2 separate regions of the Mus musculus genome follow, and region 1 is reported to be linked to region 2. The links are microRNA targets in miRTarBase. Many come from high-throughput screens and were not tested one by one. Region 2 holds a microRNA gene; the other region holds the end of a gene's coding sequence.
Evidence for each region. Region 2 holds the annotated microRNA mmu-miR-3074-2-3p (UGUUUCAGCUCAGUAGGCAC, at 3,610-3,629, opposite strand). A microRNA usually pairs through its seed, bases 2 to 8, with sites in the 3' UTR of a target mRNA and lowers its output. Matches are read on the target gene's strand: a 7mer-m8 pairs with bases 2 to 8, a 7mer-A1 pairs with bases 2 to 7 and ends in A, and an 8mer does both.

Region 1: miRTarBase lists Ttyh1 as a target of mmu-miR-3074-2-3p. Seed matches in the 3' UTR shown: 7mer-A1 at 5,439-5,445.

The regions. Positions count from the first base shown.
Region 1 is chr7:4,131,269-4,140,439 of GRCm38, reverse strand. Ttyh1 (tweety family member 1) reads right to left here. Exons shown (of 14, transcript NM_021324.6): 10 at 9,057-9,149; 11 at 7,223-7,365; 12 at 7,038-7,083; 13 at 6,702-6,777; 14 at 5,033-6,574. The coding sequence ends at 6,739. It overlaps D030047H15Rik (RIKEN cDNA D030047H15 gene), which reads left to right and starts at 3,514. Exons shown (of 3, transcript NR_033548.1): 1 at 3,514-3,879; 2 at 7,849-8,034. Leng8 (leukocyte receptor cluster (LRC) member 8) reads right to left here and starts at 2,960. Exons shown (of 16, transcript NM_001374609.1): 1 at 2,821-2,960; 2 at 1,652-1,744; 3 at 850-1,021; 4 at 397-504. The coding sequence starts at 1,689.
Region 2 is chr8:84,205,230-84,214,400 of GRCm38, forward strand. Mir3074-2 (microRNA 3074-2) reads right to left here and starts at 3,678; the gene lies at 3,596-3,678. Zswim4 (zinc finger SWIM-type containing 4) reads right to left here. Exons shown (of 14, transcript NM_172503.3): 13 at 8,794-8,875; 14 at 5,713-7,576. The coding sequence ends at 6,717. It overlaps Mir23a (microRNA 23a), which reads left to right and starts at 3,289; the gene lies at 3,289-3,363. Mir27a (microRNA 27a) reads left to right here and starts at 3,443; the gene lies at 3,443-3,529. It also overlaps Mir24-2.

The DNA.
Region 1 (9,171 bases), not on the chromosome of region 2:
CAGATTTTAATAAAGTCTACACACAGCTATGGGGTAAGTAGGTAATGTACTCCAGTAAGTACCATGAACGAATACAAGGAAGAGAAAAGGAAAAGCAGGATGACGACTTAAAAGGCAATGGGAGGCTCTCTTGAAGGTGTTCGCTGGGCAGCAAGGAACCTTGAAGTGAGCTGCAGAGAGCAAAGCATAGGGGACTAGGACATGCTAATGTCCTGGGGTCTGGAGGCAGTGGAAATGTCAGCATCAACAGTGGAAAGGACCAGAATGGATATGCCAGATCTTATGAGACCTAAGCAGGAATCTGGCAGTTTTGTCAGGGGCTGCTGTCTGTCTTCACCCCAACCAACCATTTGCCCACCCTGACAGAAGGCTCCCACCCTGCAGCCAGGTCCTCACCATGGGGTAGTAGTAGCTATACGGATAGGCATAGTTGTACTGCTGGTACCACTGGTAGTATTGTTGCTGCTGCTGCTGCAAAGCAGAGGCTTCTGCCTGAGAGACGTACTGCAGAAAAAGGAGTGTCCATCAGTACCAGCCACAGGAGCCCATGGGCACTACACTACCAAGAGGGTAGGCCTTCACTGCAGAGCAACTGCAGAAGGGTGCAGACTCTGTACAGTAAGACTAGACATCTTAAAAGATGGGGACGATCATCCTTAAGATCACTCAGGCCCAGGTTGACCCAAAGGAGTTAACTTTCCCCCTTCATTACATTTAGTTAACAGGAAAACATGCTTACAGCCCCCCTATGGCACTCCCCTCTATGGAAGCCAGCATCCTTCCCACCCTTCTCTCGGCAACGGCCCCAGCCCAGCACTGTAGTTCCCAAATCCTCCATGCCATTCTCACTTGTGCACTGGCCACAGGACCACTGCTGCTGGCTTTGGAACTGCTGGTAGCCCCTGCTTTGCTGATGCTGGCCAGGGCCTGGCGGGCCTTCTCCCACTCTGGGTTCTCGTGCATAGGAGTCTCCATGCCATTTTCTCTGCTGTTCCCAGTCACCATGCTGTACTGAGAAGACCTGCAACAACGAAGCACAGTTATGGTCTCCCCTATCTATACACAGGTAGACAAAGTTGGGGAAAAGTAAACCCAAGGCTTGCATTCTAGAGCTAAACTCCCTACTCACCACAGCCCAAGCTGAAGGTGGCACATAGCATGTGCCAAGCAAACAGAAAGCTAACCAGTATGTACATAATTCTATACATGACCTACGACTTTAGGAGAACTCAGGTTTTTTACAAGCCAGTGAATTCTGACATGGCCAACAATGAAAAAAAAATTTAAAAAAAGAAAAGGGAAGGATCAGAAAGATATTAAGAGGGGGCTGGAGAGGTGGCTCAGTGCTTAAGAACATTTAGCAGTCTTGCAGATATCACTAAGCTCTGTTCCCAGCACCCATGTCGGATGGCTCAGAGCCACCTCTAACTCCAGCTCCAAGGGATCTGAGGCTTCTTCTGACCTTGACGAACATGGGTGACACACACTCACTCACACCCACATAAGCTCACATACATTAAAGGAAAGCTCAAAGGGGAAGCTTGCCCCTCCATCCTAGCCCCCACAATGAGCATTTTTCCCCCAAGCTGTGCAAGGACCCGTTGTGTCTTGTTCCTCTTGCAATGGGCTGTGTTCCCTTAGCCCTACTAACCAGTCTGCAGCACGCTGATCACCCACGTTGGCCGCCATCTGGACCTTGGGGTGTAGGGAATAGACCTCGGGAGCCAGGCTGCTTTTTAAATGTCTATAAGAAAAGAGATCAATTAGCCCCAAGAGAAGATAGGCTAGAAAGAGAGGGTATCTCATAGAAGGGAACACTGGCAAAGAATGGAAAGGAAAGCAAGTGTGGTGGCTCATGACCATAATGCCAGCAATCTTTTGGGAGTTCCAATACCCATCTGGGCTACAAGTTACAGTCCTGTCTCAAAAACAAACAGCTTAAAGAATCAGAATCAGTTCCTAGTGTGGAGTGAAGAGACCTGAGCATGAAAGGAAACACCTCCCTTGGAGGCCGAGACTAGCCTGTAGGATATGAAAATGAAAGACAAAGAAGCTGAGACTTGCATTACGAGTGTGGCTGTGAGGGAGACCTGACTCAAGTGGTGGATGCAGAAACCTCAGTCCTGGATAGGAAATCTAAAGATACTTCTACTACAGCAAGAGGAAGGCTCTCCAGTGACTGAAGTACTAGCTACAAAGAAGTTTGGGGAGAGGGAAGCCTTTGGGGATACTCTGAGGAGGAAGGAATTGAGACTGGGAGAACACTGGAGAATAGAGCAAAGTTTTCAAAGAAAAAGGTAAAGTATGGATATCCCGCTGAGCAGCCAGGTGAAGGTGCAGGAGACTCCTTCCTGTGAAGTCACTGCCTGGCAGCACCTACCAGACTCAGATCAATTACAGTCTCCAGACTTGTATGGGATGTTCCTAGGAGTGGGAGTTGGTTTGGGAGCAAACAAGTGGCAATTACTCAAGTAAGGTGTCTGCAGATAACAGAGGCCCACAACATTCTTAAACTATTAGGGGTGGGGTGGATAGTACCATAAGAAATAGGATGGGTTGAGCACCGTGCCAACAGGGCTGGAGCGGTCCAAACAACAGGATTTACAGAAAAGAAGCCTATTGGAGAAACTGAAACCCTTATAGGAAGCCTAAGGGGCACTGACAGGTCTCAAAGGCCTTTAAAAAACCCAATCCGTTGGGTGGTATCAAGGGGTCCTAACTAGGGATGCACAAAAGAGAGCCTCGTGTTCGTAACTGGTATTAGGAGTAAGGGGTCTGATTTACAGACGAGAACAACACGGACTGTAAGCTCAGAAGCACCTGGCTGTCCCGCAGGCATGGAGTCCACGACGCTAGGTGGAGGTTGAGGCCGCCCTGAACACAAGCGACCTCCCTTGTCCCCCGCGACCAGCCACCGGCCGGGCCGCGCTTGCGCACCACGCTGCGAGGGTGGCCTCTCTGGGTTGCCCTAGGCAACAGGAAGGCCAGCGTAACAGCGGGTCAATGGAGCCCGCAAGGGGTGCGTCTAGGGCACTAGGGACCGCAGGGTTCCCAGGGCCAGTAGCAGAGCGGACGCGGACGCGCACGCGCACGTAGGGGAGCCGCCCCCTCCCCCCCCCAGCGTACACCCGGCGCGCATGCGCAGAGGCGCTCCGGCGGCCACACCCTTCAAAGACGCAGGGCGCGGCGTCGGTTGGCCTTACCAAACAGGCCAGGGCTCGCGGAGCGCGGAGCCCGAAGGCGTCCCTGTGCTCGCCCGCCAGGCCTCCCACTACTACCCACACTCACTAGGACCGCTCGCTCCCGGGACTCGTTACCGGCGGTCCAAGGCAGCTTCAAGACAACCAAGACAGCGCTCAGTCACCGGCTGGCTCTAGTCTGGGGCTCGAACGTCCTGACCGTGGCGTGATGACGTTACCCGGACGTCTGTCCCCGCCCTGTGTCGCGCACAGCCAATAGACGTCACCGCTCGGCTTGAACCGCCCACCACACGTCTCGCGAACGCAGTCGCGTGTTGGCGTTTGTCAGCAAGCCGGAAGCTGGCCCTAGACGGTGGCCCCGTGGGGACAAGTACCTCCCAGCCTCTCGTGCGCGCTCACAACAGCTTAGTTTTGACTCAGCAGTCAATAGTCTCTCAGATGTAACGCATAGGGACAGGAGTTGTGAGGCTGCGCACTGCGCTAGGACGATTTAAAATAAATGAATATATAAGCGGGTGGAGGGAAATGGGATAAGGTGAATCCTCCCTTGGAAGGTTTATTTAGTGAGTAAAATTGGAAAGGCGCACCTGGCGTAGGGAACAGCGAGTGCGAACCAAAGGAAGCGGGAAACGCGTCGCTTGAGGAATGGGAGTAGCCACTGGACTGTGACGCTGGAAAGGTACCTTGTAGGGTGTTGGGATGGTGAGATCTGCTCGGAGTGGCAGCTAGCAGAACTGTATCTTTTAGGATCAGGATGGCCCTGGAACTCAGAAACCCGCCTCCCTCTTAATGGGATTAAGGTGTGGGCCGCCACTTAAAGCTCACTGTTTACAGTAGGAGTGATTGAATTATGCAGCCCAACTTGGGATCTCCCGTTAAAATAATTGATAAGACTACCTTCTTATCAATTATTGTTCATCAATTGACCAGTTTCCAGTCTCACATTGTACAAGCAACTTTTGGTAATTAAACAACACTTGGATAACTCTGTATCATTTGCTAGTGTTAGCTTGGTAGGTTTCTTCCCATCTCTTTTTTATAATGAACTTTTATTTTAGAATAAATTTTAAGTTTACAGAAATTACAAAAGTAATACAGGAATTGGGCACACTATGCCCAGTTTCCCCTATTGCTAGATTCCACACCTCAAATTCATTTGTTAAAAGTAAGAAATTGACATTGCTCTAATATTCTGAACTAAGCCGCAGATGTGGGCGCTTTTTCTCACTAATGTTTCCGGTGCGCCATAGCGTAACCCAGAGCATCATGTTGCATTTGTCTTGCTTTTTTACCCATCCTGTCAAGAGCTGTTTATTGGGTTTATGATGCCCATTTGCTTTACCACACAACTGAGGTTCAAAAAAACAAAACAAAAAGCCAAACCAAACTAAACCAAACCAAAACAACAACAACAACAACAAAAAAAAAAAAAAAAAAACTGGGCAGTGGTGGCCCACGCCTTTAATCCCAGCACTTGGGAGGAAGAGGCAGGTGGGTTTCTGAGTTCGAGGCCAGCCTTGTCTACAGAGTGAGTTCCAGGACAGCCAGGGCTACACAGAGAAACCCTGTCTTGAAAAACCAAAAAAAGAGGTTCAGTGAGTCAAATAACTTGCTTACATTAACACTGAGGTGCCAGGACTAGGACCCATAGGAATCCAAACCAGCATTGTGCAAGAACCAGGGATACCCCTGGTGCTTCTGTAGTCACTTGAGGACCCTGCTCTGCCATCTCCCCTACAGAGCTGCTGGTCTTTGGGAAGAGTCCCACTGTGGCAGATTAGTTTTGTCTCCAGCGTTTAACTGAGCCAGGGGTTGCTTGTTTATTTCTTTCTGGAAGCTGGTCCCTCAAAGGATTACCAGGATAAGAGATGCAGTTTTTATCCTCTCACATGTAAGCATATTTATGTTTGTTTATTTGTTTTGTTTATTATTATTTTCACATAGCTGGTGATTCACAGTCTCTGGGCAGCATATTTAGAGAACCTGTTCCCTGGGCCTCCAGACCAGCACCAGCCCACACTCCACTCTAAATCCCACAACAAATAGGTACTCGAAAGGGGAAAGTAGCACATTGTGTTTGCTAATCATTAGAATTTGAACACTTTAGTTGGGTGTGGTGATACACGCCGTCACACGCCGTTAATCTCCTCACTAGGGAGGCAGAGGCTGAGGCAGGCTCTTCTCTGTGAGTTCAAGGCCAGCCTGGTCTACAAAGAGAGTTCCAGGACAGCCCAGGGCTGTTTCACAGAGAAACCCTGTCTCCAAAACAACAACAACAAAGACAAAAAAGACAATTTTATCCATTTGTTTTGGGGTTTTTGTTTTTCTCAGTTACTTATTATTAAATTGAGGTCTTTTTTGTTAGATAATAGAAGCTTTTTGAATTATGTTTATGTATTAACCACGTTTTTCTTTGCCATGTATGCTATTTGTTTTTTAAACAAATGAGAACTACATACATATTGTTCCCCAGACAATAAATTTCCCTTTTGACTCTGCCATGTTTGTTTTTACTTGATAACTTATTGAGTGCCTCATCTTTTCCTGCCTGGATTTATAATATCTTCCTTAAACCTTCCCCCTTCATATCACCCTGGTGGCACTACAAGCAAATATTCTACTTTCTCTTCGAAGACTTCTGTCCCTATTCTGATACAAGCGTTGGTTTTCTGGAGTCTTGTGCTGGGTGTGAGCTGCTAGGAAGCAAGTTGATTCCACGCCTTTCCTAAACCCAGCAGGCTTTGTACATTCCACGGGACTGGAAGCTTGACTGTTCCTGTGGCTGCACGCCTGTTTAGATTTAGTGCTAGGCTTATTCTCTTCCGGTATCTGCTTCTTCCCCCTTGTCAGGATTCACATGTTACTTATAGAAGCAATGCAGTGCTGAGCCTGGACAAGAGGAGAGTTGCCTTTCAACCACCAGAGGAGGAGTGTCCCTAGCCCAGTCAGGACTTCCTTCTCTCAGTAGTTGGGGTGGATAAGAAGGACCTAGCTGCTTGTAAAATAAAGCCTTCCCTTTTATTTCAAATCAGCCCTCTTCCAAGTTAGTGCCATAGGTTGAGATCGCTGGGGTATGGCAGGAAACAGGGACGTGCCTGTACCTGCCTCCAGCTTCATCCCTCCAAGGACAGGACTGGCAGCCAGAGGTGAGGAACACCAGGCTGTATAGGTCAGCCCCCTTCCCAGCCACCCCTGGTCCCTGTTGTGCCACCTCAGCAATCCCCTGTGCTAAGGAGAAATGGGGATGGGGGGGTGGGTGTTAGGGCCAGAGCAGGTTGCCATCCTAAGTGAGATGTCCATAGCCAGCAGTGTTAGTGGTCAGAGCCCAGTCAAGGTCAGGTTAGTGGGGCCTTCTCCAGCAGCCAGGAAAGGAGCTAGAGAGAGGGAGAAATGAAGAGCTGATATTCACTGGAGACCCTCCCATGGACATCCACCCAACATAAGAGAGCTACAACTACTGTAGGGGAGAGCCAAGACCCAACTGTACACATTGAAGGTTACCATAGAGGAGAGGCAGGCTCCAGACTGGAGGGGAGGCTCAGATGGAAGACTGCCACTGCACAAAGCGTTTGGATTCCTGGCAGGATAACCAGGGCAGGAAAGACACTCAGAATCTGTTGTGTACGTGGGGGCCCTTCTCTCCTCCCTCGGGCCCAGGCTTCCAGACCCCAGCCTCCTCCCTCATGGCCAAGACTCATCCCTGTTCCCCTAGGACCTCAGACCCAGAGGTCCAGTCTCATTTCTCTTCTTCTCAGACCCGAGAATGCAATACTCATTTCCCCTTCCAAGAGACCCAGGAGCTCAGGCCCCAGGCCTCCTCCCTTCACACCAGGATACCTGAGGGTTGAAAGGGTCATCGTCATCTGTGTCATCGTAGTCATCACTGAAGTGTGATGGGGATGTGGGGAGTGGCAGAGAAGCAGGATGGAAACGAGTCAGGAGGCTGCCCCATCCCCACCAGTGGCCCTGGGTACTGCCTCCTGTCCCCTCCCTGGGGAGCCTGCCCTCTCTCCCCTGCTGACCTGGGTGGGAAGAGGGCCCAGGCGCGGGGCAGGCTGCACAGAGTGGTGGCTAGGGCCCCCGCAGACAGGAGAGAAAAGAGCATCAGGAACAGTAGGCCCTCTAGGGCATCTTCACACAGGCCTCGGAGTGCTGAGCCATAGTCCTGAGGCAGAGGGTGAGGAGGCTCAGGGTATGCACATGTACACTTCATACACAGGTCCAACCATCCATTTACCTGGCTGTCACCCAGACTCTCTGTGCGCAAGTGTAGTCTCTTGTCAGGGAGCTGTTCTGAACATGGAAAGTCATCTATGTGTTCAGCTTGTGCCTTTGCTGAGCTGCAGCCTTCCAACCCACTCCTATTTTATCTCAGTTCCCCACTCCCATATGCAAAGTGGCCTAGCATCTCCACTCAGCATCTAGAGAGCTGCTCTCCCAGCATCTTCAGTGGGCAAGCCTCTACGCTGTCATTCCCACTGGCAACAACCCTGCCTATCCTTGTTCTACCCACGTGCTATTGACTGGTGGGGATGCCAGCAGCATCTGTTTCTGCACTTGTGACAGTCACATCCCCACACATTGTCAGATGCCCCCTGGGTCCCACAGATTGCTGGCTTACATAACACTTAGGTTTGGGCATCCATAGGAGAGACATGCAGAAAGGACCGGCTATTGTGACCACCATTCTGGAGGCCAGCAGAACCTCTGTAACCTGAATGCCAAGTGTCACAGCCAATATTCTACCAGGATGGACTAATCTGCCTTTGCTCCGGGCATGCCACCAGCACTGGCAACCTTCAATGCATGGGACCCAGGCAGCCACTTTGGAGAGGTGAGAGCTTGTAGGACAGGAAATGTTAGGCTACTGTCCAGCAGAGACCTTGCGAGAAGAACACTAGGAGACAGGCAGATGGTCAGCTCTAGTCAGAGGCACGTAGTTGGCCTGATGTGGAGTAGAAACACCAAGGCCGAGGCTGTCTACACAGGTTCCTACTAGGTCAGTGCCACGAGCCCGGCTTTAATCCATGTGGAGAGGGACTCATGGAAGGGTTTTAAATGAAGACTCTGATCCGATTGTGTGCAGAAAGGATCACCAGCTGTTATTGGACAGATGGAATGAGCAAGATGGGCATGCATGTGAGAGGTGAGAAGGGCTAGGGCCCGATGCAGTGTTGGCTGTATGAGCAGTCGATGCAGTGGGAAGTGAGGATAGGGAGATAGAAGGGCAGTTCAGCAGGGCTGGAAGGGTGGTGGGTTCATTTTTTTAATATTTCCCACAACATAGGGGCACGAACCCACGACCCTGAGATTAAGAGTCTCATGCTCTACTGACTGATCTTGTTATGGAGGGGTCAGTGTCCAGTGAATCCTGTAGAGCCAGGATCATAGCAAAGCCTGTGTGCATGGAGAGTATCATGGTGGGAGACGGTATGTAACCAGGGAAAGTGGTCAGGTGGAGTCCCGGTGTTGTAAGGGTGAGAGTCTTTACAACAGTCAGAGATGCTGGCTTGCTCCCGGGGCCATACAGACCACAGCTGAGCCCACGGTAGGCTCACAGGCTGCCCTGCCGCCGCCCTCGCCTTTTCCTGCCCCTTTCATAGCAAGAGATATCTGGACTAGTTTTCAATCTAGGGAACTGGGGGCTGCCTGGGTTCTCATTCCAGGGCTTGAGAGGCTGAGCAGCTTTCTACGAGAGGAGAGGGTGGAAGATGAAGAACACGGGGTGGGGTGGGAGGGGGGGGGACAAAGGCGGGAGGGGGGAGAGAGAGTATGAGAAAGAGAGGAGGGGGAAGAGAAGAGAAAGCAAAGGGGAGGGGGAGAAAGAGACAGGGTTGGCAAACACCCAGAGCTTACCTTGTGCAGACTGCGGCAGTGCAGCAGCGCCACCAACTGGTGGAAGCTTCTTTCTGTCACATTCAGTGTCTCCTCCAAGGATAACAAGGGCTTCTGTAGTGGGAGAGGACACAGT
Region 2 (9,171 bases):
TAATTAAAAATTATTTCACCGGGTGTGGTGGCGCACACCTTTAATCCTAGCACTTGGGAGGCAGAAACAGGTGGATTTCTGAGTTCGAGGGCAGCCTGGTCTACAAAGTGAGTGCCAAGGACAGCCAGGGCTATAGCCATGGCTACACAAAGAAACCCTGTCTCAAAAAAACAAAACCAAACCAAAACAACAATTATTTCCGTGTGCAGATGTTTTGTCTGCATGTATGTCTGCAGAGTTCAGAAAAAAGTGTCAGGATCCCTAGAACTAAAGTTGGAGATAGTTGTTAGCCACTATGTAGGTGCTGGATATTGAACCTGGAACCCCCGGAAGAGCAGCAAGTGCTGAGCCATCTCTAGCCCTTTCTTTTTGAGACACACCATGTCTTGGTAGCCCAGGCTGGCTTCTAAATTGAGATCTTTTTACCCCTGTCCTAGATATAGGGATTACACGTCTGCAGTCTGCTGTCATGTCACATCATCTCGAGCTCTGAAATGATTCATTTTTGCTTTCTTGCAGACAGAGACTTTGCCACAGAGCACGTGTGTTCTTTGCCCATAGTCAGCCAGCAAAGAAGCTGCATAGCTCACATGCAGGCTGACGAGCTCCAGAACTGAGTGTCCCGTAGCCAAAACCCTTTCCTTCCCTTTCCTCCCCCTCCCCCTTTAAAAAGGGCCTCATATGTAGACCAGGCTGGCCTCAAACTCATATATATCTTCCTGCTTCTGTCTCTTCCTAGCTGGGATCACAGGTATGCACCACTGTAGGGCTTATATAAGACCTGGCCCTGGTGCATGGCATGAAAATTCTACTCTCCTCCCTTTTGTGTGTGTGTGTGTGTGTGTGTGTGTGTGTGTGTGTGTACAGAGTGCAATGTCAAGTGTAGTTTCTCAGGATTGTGTGTGTCTGATGTCCTAAAAGGTGGGAGACATAGAATCTCCTGTAACTGGAGTTACAGATGGTTGTGAGCCACTGTGTAGGTGCAGGGAACTCAACCCAGGTCCTCTGAAAGAGCAACAAATGCTCTTAACCACTGAGCCATCTCTCTAGCTCCAACCTTGTTTTCTCAGAGAAGGTGTCTTACTGGGACATGGAGCTGGTGAGGCGGGCTGGTGGTGAGCCCTAGAGCATCTTGTGGCTTCCCTTCCCCAGCTCTGGAATTACAAGTGTGAATTGCCATACCTGGGGACAACACAAGCCCTTTTGCTTACATGGTGACCACTTTATTGATTGACCTATCACTGAAGACCCTGATGTTTTTTTTTTTTTTTTTAAGATTTATTTATTTATTATATGTAAGTACACTGTAGCTGTCTTCAGACACTCCAGAAGAGGGAGTCAGATCTCGTTACAGATGGTTTTGAGCCACCATGTGGTTGCTGGGATTTGAACTCCGGACCTTCGGAAGAGCAGTCGGGTGCTCTTACCAACTGAGCCATCTCACCAGCCCGACCCTGATGTTTTATAAAGAAGACGTGTGTGTGTGTGTGTGTGTGTGTGTGTGTGTGTGTGTGTGTGTGTTGTCTGGTCTTTGTGCATGACAGTGCAGTACACTCAGAGACCAGAAGAGGGAGTGAAATCCCCAGAAGCTGGAGTTACAGGTAGTTGTGACAGGTGCTGAGATCCAAACTCGGGCCCTCTGCAAGAGCAGTAGCCACTCTTAACCACTGAGTCAGCTCTTTATCTGAAACAAGGTCACTTGTGTCACTATGTAGCCCTGGATGGTCTGAAACTCCCTACACAGACCAAGCTGGCCTTGAACTCTTAGAGATAGTACTGTCCAAGGCCTGGTTCTTGCTTTCCTTTGCCTTTCAAGTGCTGGGACTAACAGTGTGCACCACCATTCTTAAGTTTATTTTTATTGTCTGTTTGTGAATGTTTGCTTACGCGTACGTCTGTGCACCATATGTATGCCTGGTACCCACAGGGGCCAGTGGGGAGCGTTGGAGCTCTTGGGAATGGAGCTATAGATAGCTGTGCTTGTCATGTAGGTTCTGGGAAAGAAACCTGTCATCTCTCCAACATTGAAATTCTTTAAACAATTTTTAAAAATTGTGTGTGTGTGTTCCCAAGTGCAGAGATCAGAGGACAACTTGCAAGGGTCCGTATGCTTTTCTTCTTCGTGGTTCTTGGGTTTGAGCTCAGGGCATTGGGCTCCATAGCAGCTCTGCTCACTTGCTGGATCAGCTTGCTGGCCCCTGAAAACTTTAACTGGCACGCAGGACACTACTCTACATTGGGTAGGCCCCAAATTTTGTGGCTTGCCCTGGTACTGGGTGCTAAATACCTTCTCTGTAAGTTTTCACTGGCCTTCCTAGTAGAAGGTTTGGGGTTTTGTTGTTTTATTTTTGTTTTTCTTCTATTTAAGACTAGGGTCTCAAACTGTAGCCCAGTTAGGCCTAAAACTCATCATGTAGCTTAAGCAGGCTTTTGACTCCATTCTTGGCAACCTTCCTGCCTCAGTTTCCTCAATGCTGAGATAAACGTGAGCCACCAACTGCAACTGTTGTAGTCTGCTTTACAGATGGGGAAACTGAGGCTTGGAAGGCCTAGGGGAAACTTTACTGAGGTGTTATTGTTGGGGTGCATCGGCCTGCTTCTCCTTGCTTGGGCCCTAGGTGGTGTGGGGTGGGGGTGGGGTTATGTCTGAGCTGGCTGGGGAGGAGAGGGCTGAGGTGGGAGGCCCTGGAGTTTCCTCCTGCCCTTCAGGCTTCTAGGAAGTGGCGCCAGCTGGGGTGAGGTCACTTCCTCCCTCCAACCGTCCACCTCCCTCAGCTTCCTCTCCATGGCCCCATTTGGCCTGCTTTGGGCTCAGGGCTGTGGGTGGGGATAGAAGCAGAGTGGGAAGCAGCTGGGAAGGCTCTGCAGCCCCTTTGGCCTTAGGGCTTCAGGCACCTCCCGCTTTGTAGGGCTGGGGTAGAGGCACTGCTGGGTGCCCAGCATCCAGCAGCCTCGCTCCAACCTTCCTACGGATCGATGCTCCTCTTTTTTGGGAATGCTTCTTCCCTCTTGGAAGTAGAGGAGGGCTAGGGTGTGGATCAGCAAGCTGAGTTTAGATTCTGTCCCCAGCACCACTTAAACTGTGTGTGGTGAGGTGTACCTATAATCCTAGACTCCAGAGGTAGAGGCAGGAAGAACTGGTGCATTCGGAAACCTTGTGTTCAGCTATGTGAGACCCAGCCTGGTCAAGATAGGCAGGCAAGCAAGAATGCTCCAATCTCACTGTCTCTTCTTTCTCTCTTTAGGTGCTACACTCCGCTCCCACCTGCTGCCCCCCTCACTGTGCCTCGGACGGCTGGGGTTCCTGGGGATGGGATTTGATGCCAGTCACAAATCACATTGCCAGGGATTTCCAACTGACCCTGTGCTCTGCCTTGGGGGCTCCTGTCGCCAAGGATGTCTGTCTTGGGTACTGGGTAACAGAGAAGCCTATCATGACAACTGGCCTGAGGAGCAGGGCTTAGCTGCTTGTGAGCAAGGTCCACAGCAAAGTCGTGTTCACAGTGGCTAAGTTCCGCCCCCTGGACCCCATCTCCTCAGGCCGCTGCTGCCCACCCTGCTCTGCCTCCTGGCTGGCAGGGCTCTGCCTCTCTCCGGGCTCCGCCTCCCGTGCCTACTGAGCTGAAACAGTTGATTCCAGTGCACTGGCTCAGTTCAGCAGGAACAGGAGTCCAGCCCCCTAGGAGCTGGCAACCCTGCAGAATGTCTGCCGTGAGCAAGACCTGGAAACAATGGGGTAATTAGTCCAACCTAAGCCCCGTTGTCTGCTGGAGGCTCAGCCTCTAAGCCTGCATCTGGGTGTCCACCTTGAGATTTCTGTGGTTCCCCAAAGCAGATAGATGGGCGGGTAACCCTTGCATTAAAAGCCAGTTATGTCCCCTCAGGGCCTGGAAGCCCTTCTTTTCCTAAGTCTGGTGGGGCTCAGGCACCACCCCTTATACATACCATCTTTGAAGTCAGTTACCCAAGAGGAAGCTGCTTTAGGCCCTCTAACGGTTAAATGCCAACTCTCTGCTTCCGGAAGAAGGCACTGACCTGATCCAGTGTGCCTAGCAATCCCATGGGGTCTGCAGCTTTCTGCTGGTGACAGCGAGGCAGGGAGCGAGGTCCACACAGGCCTCAGGATATGAACAGATCCATGCCCCCCCCCCCCATTGGCCTGTTGAAGTAATCTCCAGGCTTGGAAGTTAAAAAGTTGCCTACTACCCACAAATGAGACTGCATGCAGACTAATTGGAACTGGCTGAGTTACACTTCCCAGACCATACAGTGTCCTCTCCCTACTCTGGGCAGGGGCAAATCGAAGCCTGGGTGGAAGAACAGAGTTGAAAGCTTGTATTGAATGTTGTTCTCCAACTAAATAAAAGCTCCACAGCCTCATTCCGTAAGGGCTGACGTCTCTTCATTCCCGCCTCCCACATGTGTGTTGCTGGCTTTTTTCATTTCTCTTGAAACAGCATTTCTGTGTAGACCAGGCTGACCTTGAATCAAACTCCTCCAGTGTCTGGAGTTTGGGAATACCAGCTGCACCACTATATCTACCACACCCTGGGCTCCTAACCTGCATTGCACCTATCCCCAACCTTGCTCCACCTGCTTCTAGGAAGGTGTAAATATAGTTCTGTGGTCAGTAGGTGCTGCGACCTGAAGATCCTGGGATCCTTTGGGGATGGCTTGAACGGGAGGGATAACCCAGACCTGGGGTGTATGAGACCAATCTGTGGTCACCCCAGTTCCATGAGGGAGTATGTTACAAGAATGTACTCTGCCTATGCTGGGATGCACTGACTGGCAAGATGCCAGGGCTTAAGGACGGGCACATATGCGCGCACAGACAGACACGCGCGCATGCACACACACACACACACACACACACACAGGGCTTAAGGACGGGCACATATGCGAGCACAGACAGACACGCGCGCATGCACACACACACGCACGCGCGCGCGCCCGTCTACACACACACACACACACACACACACACACACACACACGCACGCACGCACGCACGCGCGCGCGCCCGTCTGCGCCAGAAGGGCTAAGGGGCGGATCGCCTCTGATCGGCTCCCTGGAGCAAAGGAACGCACCATGAACTATGGCCACACTCATAGTCACAGCCAGCTCCCATAGTGCCCCACAGAGGCAACACACACACACACACAGCTTCCAAGAGAACGGTCCTAAACAATGACCCTGTCAGACACAGCTAAGGACATAAAGAACCGGAGAATGAGAAGAATGCCCAGGCCGTCCGCTGGATGAATCCATCTAAGAACGGGAGTCTCATCCACAGCCCAAAAATGCAATGGGCAGGTCACTGGGGACACAGGCGTCCCCAGCTGCCCTCCGCACCTGGTGAGACCTCCGGAGCTCCGAATGACGTTGTCTGGAGCCAGACGCCCCCTGGTGGTCATTTCCTGCAATGAAGGACAGTGCAATCTGGGTGCATTTTCCAAAAACCTACAGACTCTAGGTTTGGGCGTTTTAAGCCTCCTGACTTGCAGAGATTATGACATGCAGATGGAAAAGCAGTAAAGCCACCAGCAAGAGGTGGCTCTTCGTGTCACCACGATGCCATGAAGAAACCAGCAGCCTCTCCTGTCCCATTCAAGTTGTGCCCAAAAACCGAGATGGAAAATTTTTTGGTTAATTGAGCAGGTGGTAGGTACCCCTGGCCCCGGGTGTTTGTGTTAGCAATGCAACCCAGTCTTGAAGTTAAAAAGAAGTTGTGTTCAATCTTTTTTTTAAAAAAAAAGGAAAAAAAAAGGAAAAGAATACAGTATGGGGTTCAATAAATAAGAAAAAAAGTTACAAAATGATGCCAACTTTTTCCTTAATATACAAGAGAGAAGACAGGTGCGTCTGGGGTGGAGGCTCTCCCTTCTCTTCCTCCCTGGGCCAAGGCCTGGGATACAGGAAGGCCTGTCAGCAGCTGGGACTTGAGAGAGATGCAGACATGGGGAAACTAAGGGAGTGGGGAAACAAATGGAGGTGCAGAGCAAGAGGAAGACAGAACGGGGTCCCTGGCTGTCTGCCTGTGCCTCCCACAACAGGCTGGAGGGCAGCCTGACTCCTGAGTTGTGTATCCAGTTACTAGTGGTGGGGTCTGGCCAGCAGAGAGCTGTCCCCAGCCTACCCTGTGACCTTGGTGCCCAAGAGAAGACAGGCCCTGGCTTGACAAGGGTATTTGGGGGTGAGGTATGTGGCAGAGGCCCAAGACCTCTTAATATCCTTCAGTGGGGTGAGGCATTTGTGCTGGAAAGCTGGGGCTGGGGGCGCAGGGCAGTGGGACAGGAGCCCTGAGCTGTGGAGAGGGGAGAAACACAGTGGGAAGTAACTACCCTGATGTGAAGTGCCTAGGCTCCGGCCAGCTCCGGCTCTGGAGCATCTGCTGCACTGAGTTGGAGGCCTAACTTCACTCTGGCCCAGCCCTTCTCCTGGAAGTCCCAGCTGACCCTGGGAGTCTGGAAGAGCCAGAGCTTGCTTCTTCCGTGTGAGGTGCCCAGGCACATACTCCCTGCAGGGTCTAGTTAGCAGTATGGCTTCGGATCCTCAGATCGCATGTCCCGTTTGTCTGCACACTCCTAGGCACACACCTGGAATGATGTCACCCTCTGCCTCCCACCTCTGTAACTTTACTGCAAGTAGCCATGGGCCTCCTGTTTGAGGAAGGTGGGCCTGGGACACCCATGCTCCCGGCTTTCTGCAGTTCCTCAGCCAAACCGTTCCCGAACCAACAGCATCAACTTCTTCTTTCCCTTGTACGTCTGTTTCAGGTTTTCTAAGAACTGTGCGAACTGGAGGTGCCCGTCTGGTGCCAGAAGGAAGGTCTCTCGAGCTTTGCCCAGGAACTCAATGAAGTCACCATAGTGGCGTGGGCTAATGTGGGTGAGGCGAGAGTGGCTGGTGGTTATGTACGCGGCTACTGCGGCATCCAGAAGCTGACAAAGTGGTGCCCTGTCAGTCCCTAGTGGTTTGGTAGCCCTGCGGGCCCCCAGTGGGCCCAGCCCGGGTGCTGAGAGTGTCCAGCGTCGCAGGATGTCTGAGAGCATGGGTGCACAGTGGATGCTTCGGATGATGAGAGGGACAATGGCCGACAATTCGTGCCGCCCCAGCGAGTGGCTGAGGGAGCAGGCCCACAGCACATCGTTGACTGCAGGGTGGCTGTCTTGGTTGAAGGCAATGCTGAGTTGTGCCAAGGCTAGCGTGGCCAGCTTGTAGGCCCGCAGAGGCAGGCCTCGATGCTCCATATACCGTGCAACCGTGAAGAGGTGGGCGTGGCCGAGGCCACCGGCTGCAGCGTCCAGCACAATCTGGTAGGCAGCCTCAAAGGCCGCGTGGTTCTTCTCACACAGGGTCAGGGCTGGCAAGGCGCAGTTCTGGGGATCCTTCATGGCGCACTGCAGTGCCAAGGTGCGGGCACAAGCCCAGAGCTCCTCTCGCCCAGCTGTATCTAGCTGCAGTCGCAGCAAAGTGGCATGCGTGGTGCCTGTCACTGCCACTATGGTGACCGCCTCCACTGGGGTGAACAAGGAGTACCAGTTCTTCATGATGCTCATCAGCGCTGGTGGGCCTGGGTGTGGGGAGAGGGCAGAGTGTGTATCTGTGCAGCCAGACCCTGCCCTTTCCCTTCCCACCCTACAACCATTGGCTCTGAATCCTCCCAGCTTCATCAGTTTTTTTGTTTTTTGTTTTTTTTTTGGGGGGGGGTGTATGTGAAGGGGTGCAGTTAATCTCACTCTGCAGCCCCACTTGGCCTCAAACTCAGAGATCCAACTACCTTTGCCTCCCAAGAGCTAGGATAACAAGTGTGGGTCATCACGCCCAACTAGTTTTTGTTTGTTTGTTTGTTTGTTTTTGTTTATAAAGACAAGGTCTCATGGGGCTGGAGATGCTTAGTGGTTAAGAGCACTGGCTGCCCTTTCAGAGGCCTTGGGTTTGACTCCTAGCACCCACGTGGTGACTTAAGCCAGTCATAACTCAAAGGGATCATCTGACCTCCACAAGTACACATGTGGCACACAGATATACATGCAGGCAAAACACCCATACATGTAAAATTGATTAATTAAAAAAAAAAAAGACCAGACAAGCTTTCACATAGTCCAGGGTTACCTCAAACTTGCTGTGTAGCTAAGGATCAACTTCTGGTCTTCATGCCTCAACCTCCCAAGTGCCGGGATTAGTCTTGTACCACCATGTCCAGAGAGAACACAGGGCCTGGTGCATGCCAGATCTGCACTCTATCAAATGAACTACACCCAGCCTTCCTTTTCTACTGCCACTGGGAAAGTCAGTCCCTGCTAAGCAACGAGTCTAGCTCCGAGCCATAGCTCTGGCCCAGAGTCTTGAGACAGGGTCTCATTTCTTCCTCAGCCTCCCAGTGCACGGATTCCAGGTGCACTGTCTTGTCTGGATAGGAAATTTCCCCCCTTTTCAAAGGAGCAAGAGTGGTTGGACTGAGTGGATGCCCTGTAGCCTCCCTGGACTCCTAACTAGCTCAGCCTGACCATCACCCCACCTGATGCTCCCTCCCAGGCTGGCCTAGAGCTGGTAACAGGGAAGGAAGGGCCTGCTTTCTTTTGTTTCTATCTGTTTGCTTTGAGGCAGAGTTTTACTATGAAGCCTCAGCTGCTCAGGAACACTCTGTAGGCCAGGCAGGCCTCAGCCTATAGGTTCACCTGCCTCTGCCTCCTGAGTGTTGGGGTTAAAGGGCTGCATAGCATGCCAGGCAGGGCAAGTTTTTCTGGTGCCTGTCTGATTTCCTCACTGGCCCTTCCAGGTACTTACCAATCTCCGTGGCGCAGCTAACCAGCCAGCGAACCATCTCCCTGCGCCGCCAAGTCATGGTGTTCAGTGTCATCCGCATCACCTAGAGGGAAAGGAAAGGAAGGTCCTCAGAGTCCTGCTACAGCTGATGGCTTAGGACCTAGGAGGCTGGAGGCAGAGCTAATGCAGCAGGCCTGGGTGAGCTACCTCTGGCCTCAGTTTCTGGCTCTAAGGAATAGAGATAAAAACACAGACTAGGAGGAGGTGCCGGGAAAGATTAACAGCACTTGCTGCTCAGGCAAAGGGTGGGAGTTTGGTTCCCAGCACCCATGGTAGGCGGCTCATAACCACCTTTAACTCCAGCTCCAGGGTATCCAGTGCCTCTGAGGGCACCCACAC